Linked DNA regions of Coturnix japonica. The protein of the gene in region 5 interacts with the protein of the main gene of each other region in a biochemical or structural test. Links are inferred from orthologs where the notes say so. Each region holds a gene or a part of one and is shown on either strand. Other genes may lie near its edges. The genes, in order: RNF111, PIAS1, RNF4, USP25 and SUMO1.

Evidence for each region.
Region 1: the proteins of SUMO1 (region 5) and RNF111 form a complex in vitro, tested with the Homo sapiens proteins (3 studies listed by BioGRID). The link is inferred for Coturnix japonica from reciprocal best matches to the Homo sapiens genes SUMO1 and RNF111.
Region 2: the proteins of SUMO1 (region 5) and PIAS1 form a complex in vitro, tested with the Homo sapiens proteins (6 studies listed by BioGRID and IntAct, with this or other methods). The link is inferred for Coturnix japonica from reciprocal best matches to the Homo sapiens genes SUMO1 and PIAS1.
Region 3: the proteins of SUMO1 (region 5) and RNF4 form a complex in vitro, tested with the Homo sapiens proteins (5 studies listed by BioGRID, with this or other methods). The link is inferred for Coturnix japonica from reciprocal best matches to the Homo sapiens genes SUMO1 and RNF4.
Region 4: the proteins of SUMO1 (region 5) and USP25 form a complex in vitro, tested with the Homo sapiens proteins (2 studies listed by BioGRID). The link is inferred for Coturnix japonica from reciprocal best matches to the Homo sapiens genes SUMO1 and USP25.

The regions. Positions count from the first base shown.
Region 1 is NC_029525.1:5,844,345-5,847,860, reverse strand, and holds part of RNF111 (E3 ubiquitin-protein ligase Arkadia), read left to right. Parts: intron 1-1,744; coding exon 1,745-2,064; intron 2,065-2,907; coding exon 2,908-3,163; intron 3,164-3,516. UniProt on the Homo sapiens protein: E3 ubiquitin-protein ligase. Required for mesoderm patterning during embryonic development. Acts as an enhancer of the transcriptional responses of the SMAD2/SMAD3 effectors, which are activated downstream of BMP.
Region 2 is NC_029525.1:17,309,335-17,313,626, reverse strand, and holds the start of PIAS1 (E3 SUMO-protein ligase PIAS1), read right to left. Parts: upstream 2,806-4,292; coding exon 2,782-2,805; intron 1-2,781. UniProt on the Homo sapiens protein: Functions as an E3-type small ubiquitin-like modifier (SUMO) ligase, stabilizing the interaction between UBE2I and the substrate, and as a SUMO-tethering factor. Catalyzes sumoylation of various proteins, such as CEBPB, MRE11, MTA1, PTK2 and PML.
Region 3 is NC_029519.1:74,941,213-74,944,728, forward strand, and holds part of RNF4 (E3 ubiquitin-protein ligase RNF4), read right to left. Parts: intron 2,167-3,516; coding exon 2,001-2,166; intron 1-2,000. UniProt on the Homo sapiens protein: E3 ubiquitin-protein ligase which binds polysumoylated chains covalently attached to proteins and mediates 'Lys-6'-, 'Lys-11'-, 'Lys-48'- and 'Lys-63'-linked polyubiquitination of those substrates and their subsequent targeting to the proteasome for degradation.
Region 4 is NC_029516.1:88,770,138-88,773,653, forward strand, and holds the end of USP25 (ubiquitin carboxyl-terminal hydrolase 25), read left to right. Parts: intron 1-247; coding exon 248-371; intron 372-1,016; coding exon 1,017-1,212; intron 1,213-1,644; coding exon 1,645-1,817; 3' UTR 1,818-3,100; downstream 3,101-3,516. UniProt on the Homo sapiens protein: Deubiquitinating enzyme that hydrolyzes ubiquitin moieties conjugated to substrates and thus, functions in various biological processes including inflammation and immune response.
Region 5 is NC_029522.1:10,239,627-10,243,142, forward strand, and holds part of SUMO1 (small ubiquitin-related modifier 1), read right to left. Parts: coding exon 3,440-3,516; intron 1,857-3,439; coding exon 1,785-1,856; intron 833-1,784; coding exon 764-832; 3' UTR 1-763. UniProt on the Homo sapiens protein: Ubiquitin-like protein that can be covalently attached to proteins as a monomer or a lysine-linked polymer.

The DNA.
Region 1 (3,516 bases), on a different chromosome or scaffold from region 5:
AAGTCATTGATGAATATATTGAATAGTACTGGTCCCAGTACCAACCCTAGAGGGACTCCACTAGATACAGGCCTCCAACTAGACTCTGTCCCATTGACCACAACTCTGGCTTCTTTCCTTCAGCCAGTTCACAATCCACCTCTCTATCTGATTGTCCAGACCACACTTCCTCAGTTTATCTGCAAGGATGCTGTGGGAGACAGTGTCAAATGCTTTACTAAAATCAAGATAGACCACATCCACTGCTTTACCATCATCTATCCACCTGGTTATGTCTTCATAAAAGGCTATCAGGTTGGTTAAGCATGACTTCCCCTTGGTGAAGCCATGTTGACTGCCCCTAATGACTCCTCTTATCCTTGATATGCCTAGAGACAGTGCCAAGGATAAGTTGTTCCATCACCTTTCCAGGGATGGAGGTGAGGCTGACTGGTCTATAGTTACCTGGGTCCTCCTTCTTGCCCTTTCTGAAGACTGGAGTGACATTTGCTTTCTTCTTGTCCTTACAACTTAACAAAGACAACAGAGAGTGGCCTAGCAATGAATTCCACCTCAGCACTCGCAGGTGCATCCCATCAGGACTCATGGATTTATGGATGTTTGGATTGCTTAATTGATCCTTAACCTCAGTCCTCATTAACTGAGGCAAATTCTTCCTTGATCCTGACTTCCTATGTGGCCTCAGGGGTACGGGGCTCCAGTAGTACAGACAGAGACAAAGAAGGCATTTAGTAACTTGCCTTCTCTGTATTTTCTGTCACCAGGGCACCCACTTCATTCATCAGTGGGTCTATATTGCCTCTAGTGTTAGTTTTATCTGCAAGGTATTTAAAAGAACCTCTTTCTGTTATCCTTGACCCCTCTTGCAAGGTTTAATTCGAAGGAGGCTTTACCTTTCCTAGTTGACTCCTTACATCCTCTGACAGCAGTATACTAGTCTTCCCAAGAGACCAGCCCCTCCTTCCATGATCTGTAGACTCTCCTCTTCCACTTGAGTTTTCCAAGCAGTTCCCTGTTAACTATGCAGGTCTCCTGGCTCCCTTTCTTGACAAAGATAGATAAGGGATTCAGGAGCATTCTGCATCTCATTGAGATGGCTCAGTTATATCTGAACAACAGTCCTGTTTCTGAGGAGACAGAATATAATTCACTGGGAATGGAATCTTCCATTACAGTGTGTTGTGGAGCTTTTTAAAATGTGCATTGCGAGGAAGCAAAGGATGCATTTAGAATCCTTGAACCCATAGATGAAAGCATGTCTGTATAAATCTGTATAGAAAATGACATATAAAAGAGTTGATTGTACGGGTGGCACTAAAAACATTACTGAGACATGACTACTCTTCCCTCCAAGTCAGATGATGTACAAAAAAATCTTAGCTGATCATATTTATACAGGAATTTGATAATACTGGATCAAAATAGATCCGTTCACACTAGCCACAGACATGATCTTTCCTCCTTTCCCCACCAGTAATGCATCTTAAATTATTGGAATAATAAGATAAGTGCCATTTTACTTCCTCTAGTCATTCCCATGAATATGTCCACCTGAAATATTCATTTTTGGTTCATTTGGCAAGCATAGTACAATCTTCTTTTTTTTCCTCTTTATTCCAGTTTGTTTTGTTTTAATCTAGATCTATTTTCCAATTAGTTAATTATTTAATACCAAAGATTTTTCAGACATTGTTTTTTGCTGATGAGCTTTACTAACTTCTTCAATCTTGGCTTTAATTTCAAGATGATACAAGAAGAACTGCATCTAATACAACACTGGAAACCAGCCCTCCAGCCATGCCAAGGTTACCGTCGTGCTGCCCTCAGCATTCTCCATGTGGAGGATCTTCACAGAATCATCATGCGTTGGGGCATCCACATACAAGCTGCTTTCAGCAGCACGGCCACCACTTTCAACACCACCACCATCACCACCACAACCCTCACCCAGCAGTTCCCTTGTCTCCTTCATTCAGTGACTCCAGCTGCCCTGTTGAACGGCCTCCTCCAGTGCCTGCACCTTGTGGAGCGAGCAGCAGTTCTGGCACCAGTTACCATGACCAGGCATGTTTCATTTTTATGACTCTTTCTCTGTAAATCCAAGTTATTATTTAATTATTTAAATATAATTTAAAAGGATGCTGAATTGTGGGTTATTTTCATGTTCTATAGTAGATATTTTAGGAGGGAACTAAAAGGAAAAATTGAGTTATACTGTATGGGCACAAAAGGAAATGTAACAACAAGCCATAACCCAATAAGTGATCATTGACAACTGATGTTCTCCTGATGACTGTAAGATGATATTATTTTATTTTACTATTTAAGCAGAGCAACCATAAATACTTTGCATTATACTGTACAGATTGTAGTAGTTCTGTAAGAAGCTGTGCTACTTTAGAACTGAATGTTTCTTCCCTTAATATTCTGTTCATGAAAGGAAAAAATTCTCTTCCAAAATCATTTTATTTTTAAGATTTTAACTAAAATCACAGCTCTAAAACAGAATGGTTGCAAATCCTAAGAACAATACTGTGGAAATATAATTTACAACATGTGGAACTATCAGTCTGTTCTATCTTGCTGCATTAGGCACAACTAAAAATGCTAAAGCTTGTTGTTTGCCTGGAAATATTTTAATGCACAGTAGCTCTCACATATGTGTCAATTCATCTATCATAGTATTTTTTGGTTCAGTCTGGTTTTCAAGTTCAATAATTTAGAAATAAGAAATGCTAACCATATCTAAAGAATGTTCCGGAATCAAGTCTTCAGACTTAAAAAGCTGGATTCCAATTGCTTGAGATCATATTTACTCCTATTTTTAGCAAGTTATATTTGAGGATAATTTTGTTTTCAGTGGCTGAAGAATTGCTTGAAAAAAAAAAAGATAATTTGTTTATGCAGCAGGCATTGCCAGTAGACTTAAGCAGCAGTGGTATAAGAAGTCATGGAAGTGGTGCTTTTCATGGAACATCTGCTTTTGACCCCTGCTGTCCTGGCTCTTCATCTCGAACTGCAATTTATGGGCATCAGACTGGTGCTGGCCCAAGCCAATCACTAACAATAGATGGATATGGATCAAGTATGGTTGCACAGCCACAGCCCCAACCTCCTCCTCAGGCATCGCTTTCTTCCTGTCGCCATTATATGCATTCTCCTTGTAAGTACTGGCTTTATGGGGGGAAGAGGAAAAATAACCTTCCCTGACAGCATAATAAAAGTTTTATTACCTTCTTGCTTTGATCTTAAAACTGAGTTAATCTTATGTTGAGGAATTAAACAGAATCTATGGAAAGTTTAAATATTTTCTTGTGGAAGTAAGTTTTTGAGTGGCAGGTCTTGTTAATGTTCAGACTTCAAAAAATGTATTTCCTATGAAAATAATAATTTGTATTTTAGTAATGTTTTTTTGTTTACTTCTCCGGTTGTCAGAGTTGTGCTTGAGCAGACTCAATCAACTCTTATCTGATATCTTTTGTTTTATTGTGTTTACAGAATATTGGGTTGAGGGGA
Region 2 (4,292 bases), on a different chromosome or scaffold from region 5:
GAAGGAAAGATTTAATCACTCAAGTATACTCCTTCCAATTAGAAAGAGCTTTAAATAGCTTACCTTGAGATAAATTACAGTCTGTATGCAATTATACAGGAATAGTAATTAAGATGGGGAAAATTCACGTTATGTCTCAACCTCCAGAGTTAGGGAGGTAATCTGCCAAGCAGACTTCCCAGTTACCTTGTTTCACCAACAGAAATGAAAACATATTGCTTCAATTCATCCAGAACCCGGAGAGTACCAAAGAATTCAGTAACCTTACAAGGCTACGATCTGCAAAGTAAGTTTGATCTTATCTGATTATTTTTCTTTCAATAGGACAAACATTCTCTAATGGGGCACAAGGCTGAAATGCTCTTGATGGCGGTAAGAAAATACATCACAGGAAACGTTATTTCATGACTTAACGTTAAGTGAAAAATTACAGCAAGCAAGATCCGTTGTTTCTCTTAAGGAAGAGAGACCTTTTATTTTACCTGGGGCATCTGGCAGTACCCCATGCCGTATCACATTCCCAGTTTAAATGTGTGTATGTTCCCCACATATAACCCCATGGTTCTTTACACAGGAAGGAAAGAAAGTTTTAGAGAAAGAAAAACTCTGACGAACTTCGCTGTGCACGGGCAAGCCAGATAGTGCGAATTATTACATTTGATTTTAGCTTTAAAGGTCACTAGATCTGAAATCAATGCCACTTCCTAATTAATCAGAGGAGAAACGTGGAAAAATTCCACCTCAGAAAATTATAATAATGAAAAGAACTCTGTGTTCGTTCCCCAAATAGCAGAGTCTTGGTCACAAACTCTCCCTTAGTTTTCTTTCAACTTTACAAAAGCAGCAAACATAAAAGCTTGCTTTCTGGAGATGTGCATCCACATGAAAACATCCCCTGCACCAAACCTGGCAGAGCTTCTTTCTGTTCGCCTCCCTTTTTCATGGACCACTCACCTTATCCAATACCCAACAACAGAGCCAGACCGCTCCTGGAAAGCCCAGGACATGATAGATATGACCCTGAGCAGAACTTTCATGCTTCTGAGTTTCCCTCTCCCTCCCAGAGAGGAGCATCCACCCACCTCTTATTTTTTTGTATGGCCTAGAGAGAAAAAAAGCAGTCAGACCTCTCCATCTCAAAGCCTTCGAAGCATGAATGTATGAAGTTATTGGGTTTTTCTTCCATGAACTGCCAAACCCTCACAGCCCCCCAAACCAGCCAACTTCTCATAGACTGCAGTGTCCCATCCCACGGTCCCAGCCTACAAGTCCCATTAAATATCCCGAGAAGAAAAGTGAAACTGAAAATAAACCAGTGGGATTGACATTTACCCTTCAGGTCCCTGAGGCAGCAACAGTGCTTTAAAGAACAAAATAATCATAATTTCTCAGCACTGGTTCTCAAGGAGCAGCTTTCAGACAGGGATCGATGAAAAAGTCAGGGATGACAAGTGGGCACAAATACATTTCTGCATGAGCTGAGGCTGTAACACAGCAGGCAACAGGACAGGGTGTTCAGTGGGCAGATCTCAAAGCTCTCAGGATCAACACATGGCCAGTTTTCATAGGGAAAACACAGGGACCACCACCCTGCCATCTCAATACACACCATAAAAACCTTAACTCCCTCACTGCTCTCAATTAGATGCTTATGAAGGCATCACCACGTGCACCCAGCCCAGCACCAACAGATCCATAGCCAGGTGCCAGCACGCACTTGCCATGCCGAGATTAACAGAAGTTTTAAGGCTGGAATCAAACCTTAATCCTTCAACTCATCACATGGAAAGATAATTTGGGGGGAAATAAACAACCTTGAGGGCAACACAGCTCAAGCAAGATGGCTCAAAAACAAAGGACAGCGGGGGACCTGGGGAGAACAGGGGCCTGGCAGGCACAGAGCCCAGACTCTGGGGCACACACACAGTGCTGGCACTGTCGGCCCCTAAAAAAGAAAGCACAGGAAACTGCTGTGTGCAGAAAACTGAGGGGCTCCTCGGAAAGACAAGTTTCCCTGGTCACGCTCCGTAATTCTCAAGTTTCTGTCATATTTGATGCACTTCTGATCCGTACGGCTCTCGTGATGTGAAGTGCAAAGCGTGGAAGTGAAGCCCTCCTGCTAAGAGCCCTGTGACAGCCGCAGCCAAACTCTCAAAGTTTCCAGCTCGCAGCCACACTCAGCCCACACCCCCAGCTCGCCAACGCGAAACCATCTCAAAGTTCCGTCGGTTTTTGCTTTAATTTCTCAGCACGGACTCCCTGACACCCCCCTTCCCCCCCCAGCCCATGACGGCCGCATCCCGCTGGGCCTCAGCTCAGCACCACACCGCAACCCGGCGGGGTCCACGAGGAGTTAAGGGAGAAATAACTTCTCTGACAGAGGGGAGGGCCGGGGTGTGTGTGTGTGTGGGGGGGGGGGCTGCCAACGCCTCGTAACGGCCCCCGTGGCCGAGCGGGGGGGGCCCGGCTGCCTGTCAGCCCCGGACGGAGCCGTGTCACCGGGCTCGGCCCCGGCCCCGAGCGGAGCGCTCCGCACCCGCCCCCAACATCTCAGGGCGGCTCGACCGCTGCCCCCCCCCCTTCCCCGTGCTGCTCCCCACGCCTGGGGGGGCACTGCCCGGCGGGGAGAGCTCCGCTCCGCTGCCCGCCCCGCTCCGTCCCTCAGCCCCCAGAGCGAGGCGGCCCCGCGCAGTCACCGCTCCGCAGCTCGCTTCGCCCCGTAGCGCTGAGCGGAGCGCGGCCCCGAGCGGCGTCGCGGAGGGAATTGGAGCTGCGCTTTACCTTTAGTTCCGCACTGTCCGCCATCTTGCAACTCCGGGCGCAGGCGCAGTGAACCCCGCCGGGACACCGCCCCCCCCCGCCGCCCCCTCCCGCCCGCACGCAGCGCGCAGCGTTTGAATCGCGGCGCCATTTTGTCCCTCCCCTGCGCTCCCTCGGGGCCGTGTCTCCTTCCACACGCCGGGCTGGGGGATCCCGCATTTCTTCCTCCGTCCGCATTTAGAGCTGCGGGAGCGTTTCCCAGCCCTGAGCACGAAAAGTTTCCTTCCATCGCTCCGCAAAGGGAACGGGGCGCTGTGGGAGCCCTGCTCGGCGGGGCTGTGAGGGGGGAACGCGGGGCCCTCCCGGGGGGAGCTGTGGACACGCATTCCTGCAGCAATAAATTGGTTAAAAACTGGAATTTGTGACTCTGCTGCTTATTCTTTCTAATTACCCATCGCTGTCACACTTTTTTTTTTCCACTTGGCCTTTAACTCCTGCACGAAGGGTGGAAAAATGGTCTTGGGCAGAAGGTCAATACTGTACATCCTTTTAAGTGAGACCAAATTTGCCCGTTTTCCGCAGCTTCCATAAAATTAATCATCATCCATTCAGAAAGCACTTACATTATCTGTGTTGCGAGATATAAAAGCATTAATGCCTCCACTCTGCAGATGGAGGAAAGCATGCTTGAGGCCACGCAGGGAATCGATGGTAAAGAGATTACTACTGGTGATTATTTCTGAATTATAATTTATGTCTCCCATCTGACCTGGATAGTTAGCCACAACTTAAAATTAGGCACTTTCCATTGAGGGGAAAATGTGACAGCGGTATCAAATATCTCCTACTAAGTAGCATTTTGATACCATCCTGTTAGTGGTGAGAATATACATGAAGCCGTGTTTTCTGAACAGCAGAAAGCAACCCCGGTCCTTCACAAACATTTTGTTTCCATATATTCCAGCCAGAAGCATTTCCCAGCTCGGTCTCAAGGCCAGCATGGCAGATAACATGAGGAGCATCCCTTGACTCCCCTGTGGCACCCTGCTCCATCCTCCAGCTCATGGGCACATCCCATTTCTCCTGCAGGTGCACCAAACGTCCACTGCTCTCATTGATTTCTCTTACCATTTGGCACTGGCATAACGAATGAACCACTCAGAAAATGAGCAATTAAAGAAGGCTGATAAGTAGCAGATACTCTGGCTTAGTACTGCATGCAATGAAGAGTCTGAAGGCTGGTTTGGGGAGGGGGCAGGGTGCTAGGCAAGATGTCTAAAAAAGCAAAAGTCAGATGACTACCCCGTACACCCACACGTACCATAATTAGCCGATCTATTTCAGCCGCCTGTACCAGCCCATGTTAGAATATTTCATTTTGACTGATTGAATGTGTTTAATAAACATAATCTTCACGTGATCTATTGGTTTGTGCCTCACATAAAGAATTTGACAAAAAGATGGATGATCACATGAAGGCGAATCCTCATTTGCTTTTTTTCCCCCTTTGAAAGAAGCTTGCTGCTCAGCAA
Region 3 (3,516 bases), on a different chromosome or scaffold from region 5:
ATGACTTCAATGTCACAACTACTGACCGCATGTTTTACCAATTCATGGCCAAAACTGGACTAAGAGCTCTACAAAGTCACAACTCCACCATCACAAACTGCATCACTCTATGTTCAGGGTTCTTGGGCAAAGGGAAGCCGTCATGATACCGTAAGTATCACAGTAAGCAGCTTCAGGAACTCTACACCATAAACTCTTGGCTTTACTGTGCATGCAGAACATCTTTCACAGTGATAGTGACAGAGCACTGGGAACAGGTTGCACAAAGAGGTTGTAGAGTCTCCTCTGGAGGTATTAAAGATCTCTCTGGATGCTGATCTATGCTACCGCAGGGAGCCTGTTCCAGCAGGAGGTTGGCTCAGGTGATCTCTAGAAGCCCCTTCCAACCCCTGCAGTTCTGTAATCCTGCCATCATCTCCCGTGTTAAGCAACAGTTTATATAATTCATTAATGACAAAAGCATAAGAAGCTTGAGATATCCTTCATCCCATAATCGTTAATTCAAGCAGCAAGTAATACTGAAGTCCATCTCTAGTTTCACATACATAATTAAATTCCATTAATTTCTCCATTTTTTACTACTCAAATTGAGGCTATAATACCAACTCAATAATTAATTACAACTGATGATAACCTTCACATGAGCAAGACTAACTCAACTCTGTAGTCTGCCACAGAGCCATGTATGGTGTGAAACTATAACCTCACCTTCACGTCAGTGATAGAAGTTACATCACTGAGCTGTCTTAGCCTTGTCTACACAGAGCAGGAAGGCCCATCTCTAACAGAGAAGTATGAGCTTGAGGCACCTAAACGTTCCATTTTTACATTAACCAAAAACAGGCCCAAAGTAACAAGTTTGTAAATTCAACAACAAAGAGCACTGCTCTCATATGCTACAAGGAACTTCACATCGCACATTTAATAACCTGAAAACCAATGTTCCTGTATCCAAGTTCTCTCCCATACTGTCCTCTAGTAAACTAAAGGGCTCACAGCCCACCAACAAGGTAGGATCAGCGTGATGTGCTGCTTCCCAAAACGTGCTCAAAGAGGCTGTTATGGAGTCCACCTTAAAATGCCTCTGAGTGTTAGAAGAAAGAAGTTACTGCCAGCATCCAGACATTTGTGAGTTTGGTTTTTTAAATCACAATGCATGTCTTAACTCATAGGACAGCTGGGCTGCACAGCTGGATCTGAGTTGAAGGTACCCAAAAAAAGGATTAACAACATCTGAGCTTTAAGGTCACATATAAATGCCTGCAGACACTGGGATGCAAAGAAGGTGAGTTAGCACATCCTCATTATTACACTGACTTCTTGTCAATGTGATAGACCACTTAAAATTCAAAACAAAATCACCCACCACTGCTCTTCAGCCTGGAAATTATCAGCATCTTGCTAACTTCTTATCCTTCACTCCCTGGTAACTACAGCAGGCAGATCAGCTGTGCTGTAAATGCCATTCACTTGGCTCAGATCCAGTACCTCATGCCACAGGGTCAGCCAGGGATACTCTATTCAAGATTGTCAGAGATAAGAACAGCCGTCCCTCCTCAGTAACTGCTCTCAGTCAGTTGAGAAGTTCGACTCTATTTTAAGTATGCAGGAGGTGCTTAGGAAATATATATAATGCAAAGAAAAACAGATTTATTTTCTTTAGTTTATCATCCACTGCACTTCAGCTGCAGTTTGGTTTAATCTATTTCCTTGTCAGAGACAGTCAGTGATAATACAGCCTGAACAGTATGGCCTAAGCACACTGCACTACTGTCAACAAAAGCCTACATTACAGCCCTTAGTAGAATCTGCTTTTTTGTTTCCCAAAAGCATATTTTCTAATATACCACATTTCTCTACAATGCAATCATGTCTCAATCTGTGAATTTGAAGTGGAAACTAAGTTATGATTTCAAAGATAAACCAGACCATAATGATCCGAATCAGCCCTGTGTGCACAGAACACAACTCAATGTTTGTTAGGCCATAGACATACATACTTGGAGCTTGCAGTTTCATCCTCCAGTGGTCCCAGCTCTCGAGACACTTTATCTGTGACATACACATCATTATCTCTCGTTTCATCTTCATCATCGCTACTAAGCACACAGCTGTCTGACTGCCGCTGGCCTCTTAGTCTGAGATTTCTCCTCCGCTGTCGATTCTCTGTAATTTATTTATTTAGATATACCATAAAAATACATACAGTGAATTCTACAACACTTTTACTACCTTGAAGAATTAAAAAAAAAAACAACAAACACAACAACAACCATTTGATTGTTTAAAATAAATAAAAGGGGGTAGAGAAGACTCAAGTTTCCGAGGAGCACAGTGAGGTGGCAGGGCAAAAAGGTTTGGTAACAGTGAGCACTTTTGTTCAGACCTGTATAAAGCTTGAGATTAGAAGGGAGCACCATCCCCCACAATTACCTAAACTGCTTAGAGCACCGATATCATTGCCAGCAGCCAGTTGCTGCTTCAGGGGATTACTGACCATATGGACAAACACACACACACCTCAGGTCATTCTTCTGGTAACAAAGTCAAGTCATTTTTCACAAGTGACAGAAGAGCTGCTTAAGTGGCACATTTAAATGACATAGTTGCTTTTGTTTCTCACTCATACAAGAACAGAACAAAATCACTGAGCCCATCAAACCCAGAGGTTATAGAACCGCTGTTGGCTTTTTCACCATCAGAAACTGCACACAAGAATTATTTCTTTGCAGCTCCATCACGAACACCAACCATGGAGCCTTAATAATGATTACATAAATAGCCACAACATTTAGAAGTCCTTGCACAATTATTGAGCTATAATCTCTATTGCATGTGGGGATTTTGTTTTGTTGTTTTTTTCCACTTCCTTCCTTTAGAGCCCCAAATGGATTACATTCTAGGTAAGCAGCTAACAGCTGTAAGAGGCCATGCTTTTTACATTACTGTCTCAAAGTTTGCTGAAATTGACAAATTCAGGCAAGTCCTGGCCAAGGTTCCAGGACTGCCTTTGTCTGAGACACACAGGAACCAAGGTTCCAGAAATCCCTTTGTTTAGGAGATGGACCAGTCGGGAGCTACGAAAGGGAGATAAGATGCTGATCAATGGCCCTTAAGTGGTCTTTTGTGTTGGCCTGTCTCAAGGAAGATGGCCATCTCTGAGGACTGATGGCTCTTAAGTGGTCTTTCTCTCGTGTTGGCTCATCTCAAGGAAGATTGACATCTCTGAGGAAATCACAAGACTCTGACCCGAGCCGTCCCGAAATCTCTCGAAGGCTGGAAAGGGCACGGACAAACCACGGTTTTGTGGGCATCTAGGTATCTGACCTCAGATCCCTCCACCGTTGTCCTACTGCTGCCTATTATCTCTTCTGGGATTGCTGCTCGAGGCTCTGCTCCGAGGGACCTCGCTGCCCGAGACTCCACTTCCTGAGACCTCGCTACTCTGACCATCTTCTCTGCGTTTCATCGATCTGCGGCCTGCTACTCCGCTGCTGCTCTCCCCTACGCTTTTGG
Region 4 (3,516 bases), on a different chromosome or scaffold from region 5:
GAGCTTTGGATCACACTTCATGTGCAAGTTATCTAGTCTGATAATAAAATACATTGTTCTAATGTATACAAAAGAAGAAAATATGTGGTAGAAAATGCAACATTATGAAGAGATGGATGAGGAGGGTTGGATTTGCAGTCAAGCAAGTAAGTGAAGTTGCATATCCTATGAAGAACATAGTAGTTAACTTGAAATAGGTGTCATCTGGATTTGCATCTAACAACTTTGTTTCTTTACTTTGCTTTAGCTATATGGAAGCCTTGCTCTACCTTATCTATGCTTACCAGAATAACAAAGAACTCTTGTCCAAAGGCCCATACAGAGGGCATGATGAAGAGCTGATATCTCACTACAGACGAGAATGTTTGCTAGTAAGTGAAGGATGCAATATACTACAAAAGTTGAATTTTCCACATAGCTTTAACAAATTAGGCAATGCTGCCATACTTTCAAAAAAACTAAAACCAAAGCATTTTCATTAAAAATTACAAAGATTTCAATAAGAAAAAGGTGAGAGGAAGAAATGTGTGTAGTGAGAATAAAGCATGTGTTTGTTTTAAGTAATCAGTTTCTTTATCATTATAAGTAGTGTGCTCACTGCCATTGTGTCTGGGCTTAGGTAGAAGCAACAGTGGGCAGTATTGGTGGGTGAACTTGCAATGTTATTGCAGTTGGACAGGGATGCAAATGTTTAGAAAAAGGTATCAGCAGATATGATTTTTTTTCCTTGATTATGTCACCTTTTTCTTTGCAATCATAAGAATAGGCAAGAGCAGATGGTAGGACCTCAGTTTTGAAAAGGAGTAGCTAAAAAAGTTGACTTGGCAGGTATCAACTGAAGTGGCCTTAGGAGAGTAGTACAAGATCAAATGGTTTAATAGAGTTTATGTACCATTGCTGTGAACGTTAAAGCTCAGTTGTTATTGCAGATTTGCCATAAGGCAAACAAAAACAGAATGGTCAATTGTGAAATGCTGTATACTTAAAGAATTTCTTTTTTGTGGTGGTACGTGAAGAAACTAAATGAACATGCTGCAGCACTGTTTGAATCAGGAGATGATCAGGAAGTAAACAATGGCCTGATCATTATGAATGAGCTTATTGTCCCGTGTTTGCCATTACTTCTGGTGGATGAAATGGAAGAAAAAGATATTGTCGCTGTGGAAGATATGAGAAATCGTTGGTGTTCCTATCTTGGACAAGAAATGGAACGTAAGTATTTATTAAAGTATAAGACGCTCACACACTCCTGATTTTTATTCATTACTTTTTAAAATGTTTTGGTTTGTGTCTTGAACAGAGCCTGAATCTTTTGTGTTTTGGTAACATATTTTGAATTACCATGACTTTAGAGTAATACTGTACACATTTAAATGAACAGCAGTTTTTCCCATGCATACATAATAATGAAGTTCTGCAATATTTTCTATATATAACAAAGTCCTTAAACGAAACTTTTATTCACTGAAGAAAGTGCATTATTCCAAGTGAAACTCTTAATACTCCCATCCCTGTTAAAAAAAAAAAAAAAAAAAAAAAAAAAAAAAAAAAAAAAAAAAAAAAGAATCAGTTTGGAGCAGGAAGAGGAAAATTGCACCTGTGGACATAAAAGCTTATGGTTATTTTCTTTTCTTTCATTTGCAGCTAACTTGCAAGAAAAGCTGACAGATTTCCTGCCAAAACTACTAGATTGTTCTACAGAGATTAAAGGTTTCAATGACCCGCCAAAGTTACCCTCGTACTCCACACATGAACTGTGTGAAAGATACGCCCGAATCATGTTGTCACTCAGTCGAACTCCAGCTGATGGAAGATAAATTCTGCAACCTTCCTGAGCACACTGTATAAACTTTTTTAGTTCTTAAACCTTGCCTTCCTGTCACAGGGTTTGCTTGTTGCTGCTATAGTTTTTAACTTTTTTTTTTTTTTTTTTTAATAACTGCAGAAGAGAAATGACTGTACAAAGTTTAGCCAGACTGCAAACAGTTAAAGCTGAGAATCGCATGGCACTCAGTCGTTTCAACCAGAATTGATGCAACTTGCAAGTCTGATAATTATGGCAAAACTGCTTTTTTGCCACTTCTCTGTTACAGTATTACTTTGCTTTTATCTTAAGATCCTTTACTTTATCAACAGCTGTCTGGATCATTTTGTGACTGCAACTACTTTAAGTGTCCAGTGCTGTGTAAATACATGGTACTTGGTAGCTTGTAAATGAAATGAAAGAATAAAGTTTTATTTATGGCTACTTCTGTGTTTGCAAGCAGATAACTTGTATATTAGTGTAAAATATAGGCATTTTTAGGAGAGATACAGTATATTGATGGGTAACTCCATTTTATAGATAAGATTCTTCAGGATTTATGGACAGTTAGATGAAGGTAGTCAGAGATTACTGTATGTGAATATTCTGAAAAACTGTCGCAGTATTATACGCTGTTGGTTGGGTTTATTTTGTATATACTTTTTTGATCTTTATGATACTGCACCTGAACACTTCTGTGTGTGTGTGGCTATGCCACGTGTATTCTGATGACAAGGACTGGCTTATGAAGCAAAACAACAATGATGCTTCCCTTCTATTCTTTGGAAAAAGCTTGAAAGAAAAAAAAAACAACAAAAAAACCTATTTTCATTTGAAATATATTAATATCTCTAAGCAAAAATTTTAGGAGTTGATTTGAATAGAGAAAATAAAGATTTTGAAAAAGTGGACTTGGCAAATCTTAAAGGTTAATTAATGTTGTTGTTTTAAAAACAAACAAACAGAAAAAACCCCAAACTAGTATTTTAGCTATGTGAATGACCAGAAGTAAAAACATAACTAATCCCTTACTTGAAATGTGTTGCTATTGATGCTACAAGAATCTCAGCAATCTTATGTGTGTCCTAATCACATTTCTGTTGGAAGTGAAAGAAAAGTTCTACAGGGTTTGTTTTGTAGAACTGAAACTCTGTCTAGTTTAAACAAAGAGTGTTACTTATTTTGTGGAGAAAGAAATTTAACGTGTCCTTAATTAATCTTGTTACCTGATACTATTTTCATTCTTACTCATTATAGAGAACATTTTGTGTTAGAACAGTAAAATATGTGAATGTTTGCTTGTTGGCTTTATTGGAGCGACACTGAACTTCTCATTGCAAGCTTTCTAGTGGAGAGTATTCTGATTTCTGCTAACAAAATAACTGAGGAAAGAAGGAAGGAGGAAGGATTAATTGATTTCAGATCACCTAGAACTGTAGTGGGATATGTGTGGGCAGCTTACATTCAAGAAGAGGCTAAGTTCAGTCTTGAAAATTATTCACTCTTGAGAAAACACTGGGTTGAAATATATAGTAAATAGAATGTGGGCTTGACTTTAAAGGTTTTTTTTCTTTTCTTTTTTTTTTTTTTTTTTTCCCCCGCATGAGTATTTTCCTCTTCTTTTTTTCAGTATTGAAGTGCTTCATAATTGTCAGTCTACCCATCTGTTATATTAAACTGAGCTATTAGTATCACAGTACTACTCAGAAACC
Region 5 (3,516 bases):
GTACAGACAATGTCCATTCAAAACCCATGTCCCAGGCCAAAAGGTACAAACAAGAGTGTCAAAGTAACACCAGTTGCCTGCTGTGAACATTCTTGCATGAATACCTGCGTGTACTAATTGCTATATGAAGTTAAAATGCTTCTGGGCTCTTCTGGCAAGATTTAAGAATCATTAGGGTTTTCAATTCTATGTCTTCAGCAAAGCCATCTCTGGAGCAAGGTACAGATGACAACGGTTCTAGATTTTTTCGTTTCCAACTCTGGTCTTCTTCGTCGGGCCATCAGCACAATTTAAGTAAAATAGCTCTGAGTTACGGATACATGATTTCTCCACAGTTTAGTTCTGAAAAACTTCATCTCGCACTGAAAGTTATAGTCCAGGAGTGAAACAGTCACACATCAAAACTTCAGGGCAGATATGGAAGTCATTAAGAACACTCGCCCACCTGGCAGATCTTACAACCTTCGTGCCTGAAATGCACGAACTTAGTGAACATACAAATGCATGTGTGTATATGTATTTCTAAAGGGGAGGGCGGAAGGGAAAAGGAGAGCAGGGCTGCAGCTGGATCACAGAAGTTCAGCACAATGAAAACAGAAACAATAGTGTATAATGAGCACGAGAATTTAAAATACCAGACGCTCGAAAATAAACTCCCAGAGATGGGGTGCCAGTTTCAATTCAGTGTTGAACACCACATTACAAAAGAACTATTATTTAAAAATAAAAAAGGATTAAGGGGAAATAAAACAAACAGAAGGATCTAAACTGTTGAGTGACCCCCCGTCTGTTCCTGATAAACTTCAATCACATCTTCCTCCTCCATCCCCAGCTGTTAGAACAGAGAAAAAAAAAAACAGCACAATTGTTACAAATCTGGTGCACCGAATTCAGAGCAGGTCCTAGAAAAGCTATCTGATGCTTTGTTCTTCTGCCTCATCATTTTTCAAAGGACAAAGAGGTGAAAAATTTTTCACTTAATACCTCACTAGCCAACACTCATGCTCTTAAGTATTTTTTCTTCCATCATATACATTTCAGCACATCTTCTCAGTCAAAGCAATAATCTTATCTGTGAAGTCCAAATTCACTTGTGAAGCAGCACACATCAGCTTGAAAAATACTAGCTTTACTTTCCTCTAAACTTCTTGGGCAATGGATGCACAGGAATGTAACTACCAACACTGTGAATGCACCCGCTGTATAGCCGCATGGATGATATACTGCATGCTGCTAAGCATGATACAGCTAAGACCTACAGCTTGCAACTCAAAGCCTGTTCACAGCTGTTGTCTCAAACAAAGTAACTTGTTCATTGTGGAATTCAAGAAGTTTGATTTTTTTTCAGAAGGTCATCATTATAACTCAGTATTTCAGTATTTCTTCCTGTTCCTTTCTTCGTAACAATTGGTGGAAGTCACCAGATAGCAAAAGTAATCTGTTTGCTGTTTATTTACACTTTCATCTAATAAATGTGAACAAAATACATGTTTACTTCAAATTCAAGCTGAAGATCTAGAACAACAACTGATCAGTTCCCTCAGACTTTTTTCCACTATATGCGAAGGTCCAATTAGTCTTTTTTCTGACCTATGTAGCAACCTTATTGAATACTTCAGTCATACAAGTATAATCAGACTACAATTAGTCAGAGATGTATTGACAGATGGGCTACATTTAAAGAATCAAATCAGGTTAATATAGCAGAACAGATAAACTAACACATTTTGTAATTATTTTCTCTACTGAATGCTGTATGCAACACTCTCTGAAAAGAAACTTACCTCCTTGGGGGTATGATTATCAGTAATCCTCTGACCCTCGAAGAGAAACCTGAGTGAGTTCATTGGAACACCCTTAAAAAAAAAAAAAAAAAAAAAAAAGCACAAAAAAACCTCAACCAAGATGCAAACATTTACAAGAAACACATTTTTAATAAAAACAGTGCACATATAAGTTAAAAAGGAAAGCGTAGGTTCTTGTTACACAGAGAGCTCAGCTATCCTGCTGCTCCCATGTAAACTACCAAGTGTCTCAAGGAGAGCAATAGTGCTGAACTGCATCATTCTTCCAAAGTTACAGTAAAGTTCTTCGGGATCAAGAACTGGGAAATTTTCTTAGCATCTCCCCTCCCCAACTCCTCTAAAGTACCAACTATGCACTCCCAAGGCATTACAGGAGGGTGCAGCCTTCTTCTAAACCATTTATCAGCCTTTTTAAAGACTACCATAACATACAGAATATGTGTACTTCACAAACTCCTACACTTGCTTCCACAATCTTATAACACTGCAATAAAGAATGGTATCCTCTACAGATACAAGCTCTGCAAAAGCCCTACGCTGTGAAGGAGAGGGAGCAGAGAAAAGAGCACCCAAGAGCTAATAAAATAAGATCACAGTACATCTAGTGTACAGCATTCCTACGTTAAAGCTTAATACCACACTTCACCTTTGCAGCTAAGACAAACACCTAACCTTTTCCTCTTCTTTCATATCCATTATCAGCAAAGTGCAAGTGAAATATGACCCGTTTAGTGCATCATTTACATCTCAGAAATGTTGCTTACTTGACACCAAAAGCAGTGTTGATAACAAATGAAGGAACTGGGACTCTCTAGAAATCAGCCAGGAGAAAGATGTAGTTCTGCCTACCAAAACATATATTTCTTGGAAAAAAAATCTGCACATACACATTTCTAACAGTGAATACGACTAACTGCATGAATGAATGCCAGCATCTGCCTTTTAGTTTTCTGATGAATCCCAATTTTAGTCACTTTTTAGTTTGGGTTGCAAGGATATCTGTCATTTAACCTTTTATCTCCTTCTCTAGTAGGATAGCAGGCCATATAGCAACATTACTGTACAAAGGCACAGAAAATCTAATGTGTCATAGTATGAAAGAGGTATTTCTACAGAACTTACCATACTTTGATGCAAATCAAACTTAGCACTAAAATAAAAAGTTGGGGTTTTTTTGGTTTTTTTTTTTAATAGTTTTATTTACTGAATTGAACTTCAGTGCAATTGCTCAAGAAAAGGCCACATAAGGCATCTGTCCCCAAAGCTAGGAGTGAAGTAGACCAGGGCCGCTAAGAATAGCATCACTGAATCCACAGTATCTGCCATAGAACCTGTAAGTGAACACATATTTCCTGTCCTGGAAGAGCGGTCACTATTTACCTGTATCAAGCACTGATACTGCATATTTCTTTAGGTTAGGGTATAATAGCTCATGCAAATGTATTATCATACTTATGACAGTAACAACATATAAGGCTGCCCTCATCCCAAGCTGCAGTATTCTATTTCAAGGAAATTTCAAAAGGATCCAGAAGATTTTACAGTAATTTCAAATGTAAACCTGGACATTTTAAAAGATTACTTCTACACCTTCTGAACAGCCACTGTACATTCAGTGTCATGGTTTCACAAACCTGTCTTTGACAGTATGATTCTTTGAGTTTCTTGAGGTGTGTTGTCATTTTCACCTTGAAGTGAATTTCACTGCTGT